2 linked regions of the Saccharomyces cerevisiae S288C genome follow. The protein of the gene in region 2 interacts with the protein of the main gene of each other region in a biochemical or structural test. Each region holds a gene or a part of one and is shown on either strand. Other genes may lie near its edges.

Evidence for each region. Proteins that work in one complex are often made in the same cells at the same time.
Region 1: the proteins of MEC1 (region 2) and DPB11 form a complex in vitro, tested with the Saccharomyces cerevisiae proteins (3 studies listed by BioGRID, with this or other methods).

Annotation. Positions count from the first base shown.
Region 1 is NC_001142.9:262,257-266,769, forward strand, and holds DPB11 (protein kinase activating protein DPB11), read right to left. Parts: upstream 2,796-4,513; coding exon 501-2,795; downstream 1-500. Other genes in the region: GWT1 (glucosaminyl-phosphotidylinositol O-acyltransferase), read right to left, coding at 1-296; SIP4 (Sip4p), read left to right, coding at 3,670-4,513. UniProt on the Saccharomyces cerevisiae protein: Has a role in the initiation of DNA replication. Required at S-phase checkpoint. Required for the association of PSF1 with origins. Also required for the proper activation of RAD53 in response to DNA damage and replication blocks.
Region 2 is NC_001134.8:502,338-513,400, forward strand, and holds MEC1 (protein kinase MEC1), read left to right. Parts: upstream 1-3,330; coding exon 3,331-10,437; downstream 10,438-11,063. Other genes in the region: HSL7 (protein arginine N-methyltransferase), read right to left, coding at 1-1,950; cyclin-dependent protein kinase regulatory subunit CKS1, read left to right, coding at 2,517-2,969; YBR137W (uncharacterized protein), read left to right, coding at 10,707-11,063. UniProt on the Saccharomyces cerevisiae protein: Serine/threonine protein kinase which activates checkpoint signaling upon genotoxic stresses such as ionizing radiation (IR), ultraviolet light (UV), or DNA replication stalling, thereby acting as a DNA damage sensor.

The DNA of each region.
Region 1 (4,513 bases), on a different chromosome or scaffold from region 2:
CTAGTAAATTTTCCATATATGAATGCGAGCAAACAAGGTAACAGTATTAGCGTGTTTAGAAGGTATGGTTCACTAGCATAAATAGTAATAGATAGAAGCAAAGCAACCCAGTTCAATGCAAAATCAATTATGTATTGCACGCTGGAAATGCCAGGAGGCATAAGGTTGGAATTTTTCAATAAGTTCCATGATATGTAAGTTACCAAAGCAATTGATGTCACTGCGTTAATTTCTGTTATAGAACCGCCATTGAGCCCTGTCACAAAGTCCTCTTTTCTCTGTTTTAAAGTCGACATATTCTTCTGATGTACTGTTGCCATTTATTTAGATATTTACGTGTCTTCTTATTGCGATCCTCTTTTTCTCATGCTGTTTTTTCACGCGAGCATGTCATGGAAAGTATTATCATACAAAACGGTAATACATATAGATGAGTAGATTTGAATAATGCTGTAGATGGCGTATGTAAATGAATATCTTATAAAATTACGGACTACATTTCAAGAATCTAATTCCTTTGTCTGATTTCTTGTCTGTCGTCTCATAGGTTTTTCTAAAGAGGCAGTACGTTTCTTATCTTGAATGGAGCCATAGGTAACTTGAGTATGTGAAACTTCCTCAGTTCTTGGGATCTCTTCTGGATTAGAAATTGCAGTCGGCTGCTCTGTAGGCACATTTTCTGACATTATTGTGCCCCAACTCGTGGTTCGTTTAATTTGTTTAGGAACGAAATTTTTTGGCAGTGACTCCAACTTGATCCTTTTCGTATCCGGCATTTGTCTCTCTGAAGAAACATCCATGATACTCGATGAGACACTACGCTTTTTTCTTCCAGAATCAGTTTCTCTAATTTTCTGCAATAATTCGTTTTTGGTATCTTTCATAGAGTGCTCCGATAATGAGGAATTGTTTCTTTTCAAAAGAATAGTTTTGTCGATTTTTGGATCATTGTTTTGGTACTTTTTTTCTGAACTAATGCTGGTATAGTATGGTTTTTTTATCTTACATTTAAAATCGTCCTTGTGTCCTCTTGGGCAGATAATACACCACTTGATATTGTTTAAAAAGATTTCATTATTTTCTCCAGATGCAGCGGACAATAATTTAAAAATAAATGCTGGAGTAACTACCGGTATGGAGTGGAATTTCTTGATATATTCAATTTTCCTTTTCATCGAATTTCTCAAGATTGAATTATTTTGAAAATCTTTTCTGTTATTATCACCAGGATCATCATTATTGTTATTAATGCAAAACTGAGTAAAAAGATCGCTAAATTCATTCGACCATAACGGATGGGTTTTCGGGATACTGGGTAAAGCTGCTAAGTTGATTAGCAGAATGTCAGTGGATTTATTGAGGTATTCTACATAATTGATGCCCATTGGTTTTAGAAGATTTAATACTTTAGTCAGATGTAACAGCTCTACGCCAGAGAATCCAGTGATAGTAACATTCAGAAAAGGGGAAGAAGAAAATTCATGATGCAATAACTTTGAAGAAGACGAAACTTGAAACTCTATTGTGCTGAGGAAGGGTTTTGACCATAAATCTATTGGGTGTAGTAATTTTTGATAATACAAGCAGCGTTCAATGAAAAATTCTGTAACTATACCATCATTATCATCTATAATCTCAGGTAAATCATTGAAGGAGTCAAGAGCTTTATTACTTGGAATGATGTAATAAGAATGATCGTAAATGCCGCTCAAGTAAGACGTCTCAATTTTACCCCCATTTTGAACAACAATTTTGGTTAGTATTGAACGGTGATTGCCAGGAAAAATATGATGAATGATAAACGCACAATTTTTGAAAATCAAAGTACTATTATCACTTAAATCTTCTTGTTTGTTATTTATCGATAATGGTGACTGCCCTAGTACTGAAAAATTTGTCTTACTATGCTGCTGTAGAGACATTGCCTTGTCCCATATTTTTTCACCCTTTGGTTTAAATTTATTCAAGAGGGATGATGTTTTCGGGAGCGAAGGAGTCAGGGTACTGGAGGATTGCTGCCGCTGCAGAGAGGATTGGGCATCGATATTGGTTGGAAAGGTGGTGTTTATTTTATCCCAGCAATCGCAAGAGTTTGATCCGATTGAATCATAGGGCAGGTCTTTAATATTTGGTAAAAGATAATAGGGATCGTACGGTAACAGTGCGCTTCTTTTTTGGCAATCGAGAATCCATTTGAAATGTACAATAGGTATATTTTGTTCAATAGCAGCGTTAACTCTTGCTCCTAGTAAAGTATCCGTAACAAAAATGGATATCTGCCCATTCTGACCTTGATCATCGTCATCATTGTGTGAAGAGGTATCTTTGATTACAAAGTTTTGATAGTTATAACTAGAACACCCTAACTTTTTAATACTCCTAACCAATGAATCGATGGAAGTTATGTTAGTGTCGGTTATTCTGCCAATGAAGATATTGAAGTTATGCAAATATTTAAACGAAAATCGCCGGTAAAGTATCTTCAGCATCTCATAGGTGGATCCTGTCATTGTTGCCGTATTAGAGTCCGGCAATATATTTTCTCCAGACAGCCAGAGCTGATAAATGTCATCAATGGCTTGAATGTCAATAAATATGATATCGAATCTATGCTTCACCGCAAATTTAAATTTGTTTGTATTGGTGGTGGACCCAACAACAAGGACATTAACTTGTCTGGTCAAATCTTTAGAAAATATACCTCCTAACTTAATAATTTTCTTTGATATTTTTTTAGCTAAGATTTCATTATTTATTGCAGTCGGACAAAATGTTATTCCTTGAAAGGGCTTCATAGTAATATTAATGCTACTGATAAAATACCTGCCATACTAGAAATAGAAGACTTATATATCACGTAAAATTTGTCTCTTCTTATTCATCATGTACATAAAACAGTACAAACATTACCAATAGTACTATATAGCTTTACCAGGCAATACGCGAATAGTCCATGCAGTTTTTCTTCTCTTATACTGATGAGGGTAAGTTTTGCATTTGATCACCGCCGTATGCGAAGCGGAAAGAGCAAATGCGTTGAAAGAAACCTGGCGACAATAGGAACCACGAGTTCAAGCTAATAATGATACCTCAATGATTATGCCCAGATTACGTTATGTGACTAAAGTAGAAAGGTGAATAAATATAAGTAACGAAACAAGGTTACATGGACTCTTCAATTAAAGAAGGAAAAGGAAGGATTCTTTTGCAGGCAGAAAACATTGAAGTTATATCGCAACAATAACGATGTAGTTATTATGACCTCATAATATGAGAACTTTTTCCTCAAGTATTTTTAAGTTATTCTGTGTGTCATGACTCTCACTTCGTCATATTTTATGTTAGTGCACAAAATGCGAGGTGTGGGTGCAATCAAGACTCCGATCCATTTTCGCCGTTCGACCGGTGTTTTGGCGGCTAAATTTAAGGGCGTGATCTCAGAACTCGGCGGCAAAAAAAAAAGTATATAAGGCAGAAAGCTTTCTGCCTCTCCGATTTCCTCTCCTTTGTTTTCTTTTCCGCTTCAATTTACAATCTAGTTCAGCGGCTAATCCTCTTTACCATTGTTTTCCGTTTATCCTTTGCTCATTCTCCTTTGCTCGATTTCTTTTGCTCGTTTTTTTTTTTTTTTTTTGCTTCTTTTTTTCTTCTCGCTACTCTGAATAGACGATGGCCAAGAGGAAATATGGCAGGTCTTATTCCCTCGATGATACAGATTCCTGCAGCAATAAAGTCCTGATAGTACCAACCGGTCAAAGCTCCTCTAACGCAATCACTGATTTCTCTGTCAGAAAGGCGCATGCTTGCGATAGATGCAGACTGAAAAAAATCAAGTGTGACGGTTTAAAACCGAACTGTTCAAACTGTGCGAAAATTGACTTCCCTTGCAAAACCTCGGATAAACTGTCGAGGAGAGGTCTTCCAAAGGGGTATACAGAACTACTAGAAAAAGAGGTCGTCCGTTTGACAAATATGAATGCGAGTTCCAGCGCCAATGCAAATTCTAATTTGCCGTTCATTAATGATACATTTTATTGTTTTGATAATTACAACACTCAGTCTGAAAATCAAAGGTTTTTGGGACATTTGACATGGAATATTCTAACTAATACTTTTCCTACTCAAAAAGCAGTAGTTTTTACAGACGATCGAAATAATATTGATCTACAACTGCAACTGTTAACAAATTTTTTGAACCTGAATGGTGACTTTAATCATCTCCCAAATTTTCTTTTACTTAAATATGATTATAACCTTCAGTTTTTGAAAAATTTGTTGTCTGTCATTATTAAAGATTTTTTTAAAAGGCAAAATTCTTTGCTACTTCTATTATACCCTACAAATTTATGGAAAAATTTGCTATTAGACAAGATTAATTCAACCGCAATGACAGGTGAACCCATAACTCTACTGGCGTTACTTTATATTATTCAATTTACTTGGTCTTGTTTTGATGATTTCAAGCTTTTTAAAGTCACGAAGCTTATTGTTTCTCTGACAACAAACAGCAAAT
Region 2 (11,063 bases):
AAAGGATATTGGTTGCTTCAAAGGAAAGATAATTGGAGACCACGAGGTCATATTTGGTGTATGGTCACATTTCTTGATTAGATTTTCTTCTCGTCTGGTATTCATCAACGTTTCTTCGCTAAATTTTAAACGGACTGTGCTGTCATTGGGCAAAGTTGACAAGAATATATTGTTATATAAGTTTGCCGAGAAGAATCCGATAAAGCCATGGATTTCGCCGCGGTGCTTTATCTTGAACTCATTTAATGAACTTTGAGAAAATTCAACTGTAAAATCATCTTCGTCTTGGACAGTATCTTTTTGGGCCATGGGATGCTCGAACCGCCACACTTCATTTACCCTTGAGGATAATATACAGTATGGCACTCTATGGACTATCCAGGGCGCCTCCAAAGAGCGATTTGTTTGTGAGAGTTTTTGGTAGAATAATGGTGACGAAATGGGTGCTATGTATGAAGAGTATGACCTCGGTATGAAAATTGTGTCATTGTGGGAATGATATTTTTCAATAGACCAGAGACATTCTGGTGATAATTCATTGCAACCGAACGAACCCAGCAGTTCACTTATGCACAGATCTATCTGAATACGCTTTTCCGACGGCTCGTTGATTTGCCATTTGGTCATATCCTCCTTGATTAATTTCACTCTATTATCCCAACAGTCGAAATTTCTTTTTTGCAAGTACAGATATGCCTGTGGATTTTTTTCAATGGCAATTATAGAAACCTTACTATCCATAAACAACATTGATATTATCTTAAAAGTTCGATCCACTAAAGGTCCTCTTCCCGCACCGGCTACTAGGATCACCAACGGTCTCTTGGCACTCGCTCGAGGAGCAAGATCTTGAAGCGCCTCTAATATGGCAGATTCGTAAAGATCGTACTTCACCAAATCTTTTTCAAAAGTCAAATATGTGGAATTTAATAAATTATCTGAATGAGGTTTCAGAGGCGGCATTATCCGAGAGTCCTCTTGGAGCAAAAATTGGTGATTACTATTGGAATTTAATACTTTGTCGCCCTTTTTCAATAAGTAGTTTATATATTCCAAATAGGCAGATTCTCCGCCCTTAACATTATTGGCATATTTCTCCATCCCATGCAATATCACGCATAATTCATTACCCAAAATTTGTGAATCTCCATTAACCTTTTGGAACTTTAAAATCAAATTCTGGTTAAACTTGTGTAAAACGGGATAATCGTACTGATTACTGGCAAAGATGGATGAAGATACCAAAAGACACGAGACGGGTTCGGCTAACCATCTATTCAGCACATACGAAGGAGTCCTGGTTCTTGGCAAAGCCAAAGAGATAGTCAAAGAGGGATGATATTCGCATTGTTTCCGCACGGTATTCCACAGTTCCCAAGTGGCCAATGGATCGCTGTCTTCGTAAAGTGGCAGAGAAATGGATATGGTTAACGCAGGCGCAGCAAAGACGATGCGATTTTGCAGGAGCCTGTAAATCATCTGTCCATACAATTGCAGGTTGGACAGGTCCCGTGGAGGCGCCAATATTAGCTTATTGATTCCAACAAACCTCGCGTACTTACATTCGTTTAGAAGGACCTTTAAGCCAAGATCTCTTACATTTGGATCGCGACTCTCCAGCTCCAGCCAAGAGGATAACAGCCCTATGTAAGACGGCGTATCGTCATTGTCTAGCTTCTTGACGTTGAACGGGGGTATACAGATATCCTGCAACTGCGGTTCAGGAATTTGAAGCGGTTTCCAGTTCTGTATGGATTGTCTTTGGAAATCTTTGAAAACTTGCCCAACTATTTCCTTATATCTTGGCGTTGTTATAGGAAGCAAAACGTAATCATAGTTACTAGGCAGTTCTGGTGAATGACTAGAGACATTTTCTAGGAAACGTGACTTTTTGCTGTGCTGTTTATGATTAAAGCCTGGTTTGACACCAACAAATACGTTGCTATGCATATGCAAACTGAACCCTTTGTATATATAAAAATTATATGTATAAAAGAAGAGGAACGTCCGCACAATTCCACACACACACACACACACACGCTTTCACACACGCAATTTGAAATAGCTCCTATAGGGCTTGGGAATAGGATCACAAGTCACTCGAAATATACCATTTTTTCTATCACACATACACATTGTATAAAGCCATTTGTTTCAAAAAAATATAAAAACACTGCGCAGCGTGCTGTTTCGGGTTCCATTTGTGATTGTTTATTTTTCTTTTGGTTTAGCTCAGTGCAAAACGAGGGCTCGAAGAATTTTCAGATAAAACAGTACTCGAGCCCTGAGATCTGTTTTAGGGTCTAAAAGGCGGGTTATAAAAATATGTCAGGTGATTTTTTTTTCTCGTGGTATGAGATAAATAAAGAATGGAGCTTTTATGCATGAAAGGACAGCGGATGGCAGTAGAGCAGACATCAGTAGCATTCATTACAACTCTGTCGTAAGTTCTTGGAACTGCTGGCCGCGTTGGATACAACTAGATTGACACGCACTTACTCTCGTCTTACAGTACTATGTACCATCACTATCACGCCTTCCAAGGCAGAAAGCTTACTGACCAAGAAAGAGCACGCGTGTTGGAGTTTCAAGATTCCATTCACTATTCTCCGCGGTACTCAGACGATAACTATGAGTACAGGCATGTGATGTTACCTAAGGCCATGCTAAAAGTTATCCCATCTGATTACTTCAATTCGGAAGTGGGGACCCTGCGTATATTAACAGAAGACGAATGGAGAGGCCTCGGCATCACACAGTCTTTGGGGTGGGAACATTATGAATGCCATGCGCCAGAACCACACATTTTGCTATTCAAAAGGCCGCTGAACTACGAGGCCGAGCTGAGGGCAGCGACCGCTGCTGCTCAACAGCAACAGCAACAGCAGCAACAGCAGCAACAACAACAACAGCAACATCAAACACAATCGATTTCGAACGATATGCAAGTTCCACCCCAAATCTCCTAGCTTTGATATACTCTAATTACTGAAATTGAATTCCTTTTCAAGGCTCCATAACTATATGGAGCATACTATGTACTTATCATAATAAAGAATAAACAAACAAGCAAACAAAAAAAAAAAAAACTATGGATCATAGTTTTCACCAACAAGCATTAGAATACAAATAAAATTTATATAGTGAATATCCTTCAAATAAATTTCTTCTTTCCCTTATAAATCAAATAGATGGAACGCACGCTCCAAAACTAGTCAACTAGAAAAAAATACCCGCCGACGGACAATTTTGAAGAGAGATGATTAATGAAGACAAAGTGAGGCTGGACAACAAGAACGACATACACCGCGTAAAGGCCCACAAGACTGCATGGAATCACACGTCAAATATCTTGACGAATTGATATTGGCAATAAAAGACCTGAACTCGGGGGTGGATTCAAAGGTGCAGATTAAAAAAGTGCCCACGGATCCATCTTCTTCTCAGGAGTACGCCAAGAGTTTAAAGATCCTGAACACCCTCATAAGAAACCTAAAAGATCAAAGAAGGAACAATATCATGAAAAATGATACTATATTTTCGAAAACAGTTTCCGCCCTTGCCTTATTGTTGGAGTACAACCCCTTCTTGCTTGTTATGAAGGATTCCAACGGGAACTTTGAGATACAAAGGCTGATAGATGATTTCCTCAACATATCCGTTCTGAACTATGATAATTACCACAGAATATGGTTTATGAGGCGAAAATTAGGCAGCTGGTGCAAAGCATGTGTCGAATTTTACGGAAAACCTGCTAAGTTTCAGCTTACTGCACATTTTGAGAACACCATGAATCTTTACGAACAGGCCTTGACTGAAGTCTTGTTGGGCAAGACTGAGCTTCTCAAATTTTATGACACCTTGAAGGGTCTATACATTCTTTTATACTGGTTCACTTCGGAGTATAGTACTTTTGGGAACTCTATAGCATTCTTAGATTCTTCTTTGGGGTTCACGAAATTTGACTTTAACTTCCAACGATTAATCAGGATTGTTCTTTACGTCTTTGATTCCTGCGAACTAGCAGCACTAGAATATGCCGAAATCCAACTCAAATATATTTCTCTAGTTGTGGACTATGTTTGCAATAGAACAATTTCCACAGCCCTGGATGCCCCAGCGTTAGTTTGTTGTGAACAATTAAAGTTTGTATTGACTACTATGCATCATTTTTTGGATAACAAGTATGGGCTCTTGGATAATGACCCCACTATGGCCAAAGGAATTCTTCGACTATATTCTCTTTGCATTTCTAACGATTTCTCAAAATGCTTTGTAGACCACTTCCCAATTGACCAGTGGGCAGATTTTTCACAAAGTGAACATTTTCCGTTCACGCAGTTGACTAATAAAGCTCTCTCGATTGTATATTTTGATTTGAAAAGAAGGTCCCTACCTGTTGAAGCTTTAAAGTACGATAATAAGTTCAACATCTGGGTATACCAATCGGAGCCGGACTCGAGCTTGAAAAATGTCACTTCTCCCTTTGATGATCGATATAAGCAGCTGGAAAAGCTAAGGTTGCTAGTACTAAAGAAGTTTAACAAGACAGAAAGAGGAACTTTGCTCAAATACCGCGTGAACCAGCTAAGTCCTGGATTTTTTCAAAGAGCTGGAAACGATTTCAAGCTAATTTTAAATGAAGCATCTGTATCCATTCAAACTTGTTTCAAGACAAACAATATAACAAGGCTAACATCATGGACTGTAATTCTCGGACGTCTAGCCTGTCTAGAATCAGAGAAGTTTTCCGGCACTCTGCCAAATTCCACAAAGGATATGGATAATTGGTATGTTTGTCATTTATGCGATATTGAGAAAACTGGCAACCCTTTCGTGCGAATAAATCCAAATAGACCAGAGGCTGCGGGTAAATCAGAAATCTTCAGGATACTTCATTCAAACTTTCTATCTCACCCAAATATAGATGAATTTAGCGAATCTTTGTTAAGTGGCATCTTATTTTCTCTACATAGGATATTTTCACACTTTCAACCTCCAAAACTTACAGATGGAAACGGTCAAATCAATAAGAGCTTTAAACTGGTACAAAAGTGCTTTATGAATTCTAACAGATACCTACGTTTATTAAGTACTAGAATTATACCTTTATTCAATATATCAGACTCTCATAATTCCGAAGATGAACACACTGCCACGCTGATAAAGTTTCTACAATCTCAAAAATTGCCAGTGGTGAAAGAAAATTTAGTCATTGCTTGGACACAATTAACATTGACGACTTCTAATGATGTATTTGATACACTACTTTTGAAACTGATTGATATTTTCAATTCTGATGATTATAGTTTACGAATAATGATGACTTTGCAAATTAAAAATATGGCCAAAATTTTAAAGAAAACACCATATCAATTACTATCGCCTATTTTACCTGTATTACTAAGACAGTTGGGAAAAAACCTCGTGGAAAGAAAAGTTGGCTTTCAAAATTTAATAGAATTATTGGGATATTCTTCAAAAACAATTCTCGATATTTTCCAGAGATATATCATCCCTTATGCAATTATTCAATATAAGAGCGATGTGCTAAGTGAAATTGCTAAGATTATGTGTGATGGCGATACAAGTTTAATTAACCAAATGAAGGTTAATTTACTGAAAAAAAACAGTAGGCAAATATTTGCCGTAGCTTTGGTAAAACACGGATTATTTTCTTTGGATATCTTGGAAACCCTTTTTTTAAATAGGGCTCCAACTTTTGACAAAGGATATATAACTGCATACCTTCCCGATTATAAAACTTTAGCTGAAATAACGAAGCTCTACAAAAACAGCGTTACTAAAGATGCAAGTGACAGCGAGAATGCTAATATGATTTTATGCTCTTTGCGATTTTTAATCACCAATTTTGAAAAAGACAAAAGGCATGGTTCGAAGTACAAAAATATCAATAACTGGACGGATGATCAGGAACAAGCGTTCCAAAAGAAACTACAGGATAATATCTTAGGTATTTTCCAAGTTTTTTCGAGTGACATACATGATGTTGAAGGCCGCACCACTTACTACGAAAAGTTAAGGGTTATCAATGGCATTTCTTTTCTTATCATATATGCCCCCAAAAAATCAATAATTTCCGCATTAGCCCAGATTAGTATTTGTTTGCAAACAGGACTTGGGCTTAAGGAAGTTCGATACGAGGCCTTTAGATGTTGGCATCTGTTAGTTCGCCATCTAAATGATGAAGAACTCTCTACTGTTATAGATAGCTTAATTGCATTCATACTTCAAAAGTGGTCTGAGTTCAACGGAAAACTTCGAAATATAGTGTACAGTATACTGGATACCTTAATCAAAGAGAAATCGGACCTGATTTTGAAATTAAAACCTTACACTACTTTGGCTTTAGTAGGCAAGCCTGAATTAGGTATTTTAGCTCGTGATGGCCAATTTGCAAGAATGGTGAATAAAATAAGAAGTACCACGGACCTTATACCCATATTTGCTAATAACTTGAAAAGTAGTAACAAGTATGTCATAAACCAAAATTTAGACGATATAGAGGTATATCTTCGGAGAAAGCAGACAGAAAGATCGATTGATTTTACACCAAAGAAGGTTGGGCAAACTTCTGATATAACATTAGTTTTGGGTGCTTTATTAGACACTTCTCATAAGTTTAGAAATTTAGACAAGGACCTATGCGAGAAGTGCGCCAAATGTATCAGTATGATTGGTGTTTTAGACGTTACAAAGCATGAGTTTAAAAGAACAACATATTCAGAAAACGAAGTTTATGATTTGAATGATAGTGTTCAAACTATTAAGTTCTTGATATGGGTCATAAATGATATCCTCGTTCCTGCGTTTTGGCAAAGTGAGAATCCCAGCAAGCAATTGTTTGTTGCCCTTGTCATACAGGAATCATTAAAATATTGCGGGCTAAGTTCAGAGTCATGGGATATGAACCATAAAGAATTATATCCAAATGAAGCCAAACTATGGGAAAAGTTTAACTCTGTCTCCAAGACAACCATCTATCCGCTTTTATCTTCCTTGTATCTTGCGCAATCATGGAAAGAATATGTCCCGCTAAAATATCCTTCTAATAACTTCAAGGAAGGATACAAAATTTGGGTGAAAAGGTTTACATTGGATTTATTGAAAACAGGTACAACAGAAAATCATCCATTACACGTGTTTTCCTCTTTGATTAGGGAAGATGATGGCTCACTATCAAATTTTTTGCTACCTTATATTTCTCTGGACATTATTATCAAGGCAGAAAAAGGAACTCCATACGCTGATATTTTAAACGGGATTATTATTGAATTTGACAGCATTTTCACGTGCAATCTGGAAGGAATGAATAACTTGCAAGTGGATTCGTTAAGAATGTGCTATGAATCCATCTTCAGAGTTTTCGAATATTGCAAAAAATGGGCAACTGAGTTTAAACAAAATTACAGTAAACTACACGGCACTTTTATCATTAAAGATACGAAAACAACTAACATGCTTTTGAGAATAGATGAGTTTTTGCGAACAACCCCTTCAGATTTGCTAGCTCAACGCTCCTTAGAGACGGATTCTTTTGAAAGGTCTGCTCTATACCTTGAACAGTGCTATCGACAGAATCCTCACGATAAGAACCAAAATGGACAACTACTGAAAAATTTACAAATCACATACGAAGAAATAGGAGACATTGACTCACTCGATGGTGTACTGAGAACCTTTGCTACAGGAAACTTGGTTTCTAAAATTGAAGAATTGCAATATTCTGAAAACTGGAAACTCGCACAAGACTGCTTTAATGTCCTCGGCAAATTTTCAGATGACCCCAAAACTACAACCAGGATGCTAAAGTCTATGTATGACCACCAATTGTATTCTCAAATAATATCGAACTCTTCGTTCCATTCTTCAGACGGAAAAATTTCTTTGTCTCCAGATGTGAAGGAATGGTACAGCATAGGTCTTGAAGCTGCAAATCTAGAAGGCAATGTTCAAACTTTGAAAAATTGGGTAGAACAAATAGAGAGTTTAAGAAATATTGACGATAGAGAAGTACTTTTGCAGTACAATATTGCGAAAGCTTTAATTGCCATCTCAAACGAGGATCCATTAAGGACTCAAAAATACATCCACAATTCCTTTAGGCTTATCGGAACAAATTTTATAACGTCATCTAAAGAGACGACGCTGCTAAAGAAACAGAATTTATTGATGAAATTACACAGTTTATATGACCTCAGTTTTTTATCTTCTGCGAAAGATAAGTTTGAATACAAAAGTAACACTACCATACTCGATTATCGAATGGAACGTATTGGGGCTGACTTCGTGCCAAATCATTACATATTGTCAATGAGAAAGTCATTTGACCAATTGAAAATGAATGAACAAGCAGACGCTGACTTAGGAAAAACATTCTTCACTTTAGCCCAATTGGCGAGAAACAACGCTAGGCTAGATATAGCCTCCGAATCATTAATGCATTGTTTGGAAAGGCGGTTGCCTCAGGCAGAGTTGGAGTTTGCTGAAATACTATGGAAGCAAGGTGAGAATGATAGAGCCTTAAAGATAGTGCAAGAAATACATGAAAAGTATCAAGAAAATTCCTCGGTTAATGCTCGCGATCGTGCCGCCGTGCTATTAAAGTTTACTGAATGGTTAGACCTTTCGAACAATTCAGCGTCCGAACAAATTATTAAACAATATCAGGATATTTTTCAGATTGATTCTAAATGGGATAAACCATATTACTCTATTGGCTTATACTATAGTAGACTACTTGAGCGCAAAAAAGCAGAGGGTTATATTACTAATGGTCGTTTTGAGTACAGGGCAATATCTTACTTTTTATTGGCATTTGAAAAGAACACTGCTAAAGTAAGAGAAAATTTGCCCAAAGTTATCACGTTTTGGCTAGATATTGCGGCCGCATCAATTTCTGAAGCTCCTGGAAACAGAAAGGAAATGCTGAGTAAGGCTACGGAAGATATATGTAGTCATGTTGAAGAAGCGCTGCAGCATTGTCCCACTTATATTTGGTACTTTGTTTTGACTCAGTTGTTATCTAGGTTATTACATTCTCATCAATCATCGGCCCAGATAATAATGCACATACTGCTAAGTTTGGCTGTTGAATACCCCTCTCATATTTTATGGTATATCACAGCCCTTGTAAATTCCAATTCTTCAAAAAGAGTTCTTCGTGGTAAGCATATTTTAGAAAAGTATAGACAACATTCGCAAAATCCTCATGATCTAGTTTCTAGTGCATTGGATTTAACGAAAGCATTAACTCGTGTCTGTTTGCAAGATGTCAAAAGCATTACAAGTAGATCAGGCAAATCTTTAGAAAAAGACTTCAAATTTGACATGAACGTGGCCCCATCTGCAATGGTTGTTCCAGTAAGAAAAAATTTAGACATCATTTCACCACTAGAGTCTAACTCAATGAGGGGCTATCAACCATTTAGGCCGGTTGTTTCTATAATTAGATTCGGATCATCTTATAAAGTGTTTTCTTCATTAAAGAAGCCAAAACAATTGAACATAATAGGTTCAGATGGCAACATTTATGGGATCATGTGTAAGAAGGAAGATGTCCGACAAGATAACCAATATATGCAGTTCGCCACAACAATGGATTTTCTTCTGAGTAAGGACATAGCTTCAAGAAAAAGAAGCCTGGGCATAAATATTTACTCCGTACTATCTCTTCGAGAAGACTGTGGGATATTGGAAATGGTACCGAATGTTGTAACTTTAAGATCTATTCTTTCTACAAAGTACGAAAGTCTGAAAATTAAGTATAGCCTGAAAAGTCTACATGATAGGTGGCAGCACACCGCAGTAGATGGAAAACTCGAGTTTTACATGGAACAGGTAGATAAATTTCCTCCAATCTTGTACCAATGGTTTTTAGAAAACTTTCCTGATCCAATCAATTGGTTCAACGCCAGGAATACGTATGCCAGATCTTACGCCGTCATGGCAATGGTTGGCCATATATTAGGTCTAGGTGATAGGCACTGTGAAAACATATTACTAGATATACAGACGGGTAAAGTTCTTCATGTAGACTTCGACTGTTTATTTGAGAAAGGCAAAAGGTTACCTGTCCCAGAAATTGTTCCCTTCAGACTAACACCAAATTTATTGGATGCGTTGGGCATAATTGGGACAGAAGGAACATTTAAGAAGTCTAGTGAAGTCACGTTGGCTTTAATGAGAAAAAATGAAGTAGCGTTGATGAATGTGATCGAAACAATTATGTACGATAGAAACATGGACCACTCAATTCAAAAAGCGCTAAAGGTCTTAAGAAACAAAATCCGCGGTATAGATCCGCAGGATGGCCTGGTATTGAGTGTTGCTGGCCAAACAGAAACATTGATCCAAGAAGCAACATCAGAAGACAATCTAAGCAAGATGTATATTGGTTGGCTTCCATTTTGGTAACGACTTTCCACCATTTTCGGCAACAGACGAACTTCCTCTTGATCTAACCATCACTGCAGGTGCTTTTCTCCGGCGGAGTTAATAGATACTTATCCCCGCTTCATGTCATACTATCTCTCTTAACAGGGATGTTGACACCATATAAGTTAACATAACATATACGTACGTAATAATATTAAGGACTATCTCGCATTTCAAAAGAGAAACAACCTAATCAAGCCTTATTATAAGAGCAAATTATTCAAAAAAAGTCTACGGAGAAAATTATTATGGTGGTTTTAGACAAGAAGTTATTGGAAAGATTGACTTCTCGTAAGGTTCCCTTAGAAGAGCTCGAAGATATGGAAAAACGATGCTTTTTGTCTACTTTTACATATCAAGATGCCTTTGATTTGGGGACTTACATAAGAAATGCAGTTAAAGAAAATTTCCCCGAAAAACCAGTTGCAATTGATATCTCCTTACCAAATGGGCATTGCTTGTTTCGCACAGTGACCTACGGTGGCAGTGCATTGGACAATGATTTTTGGATCCAGAGAAAGAAGAAGACAGCGCTTCGATTTGGTCATTCAAGTTTCTATATGGGCTGCAAGAAAGGTGACAAAACACCGGAGGAAAAGTTTTTT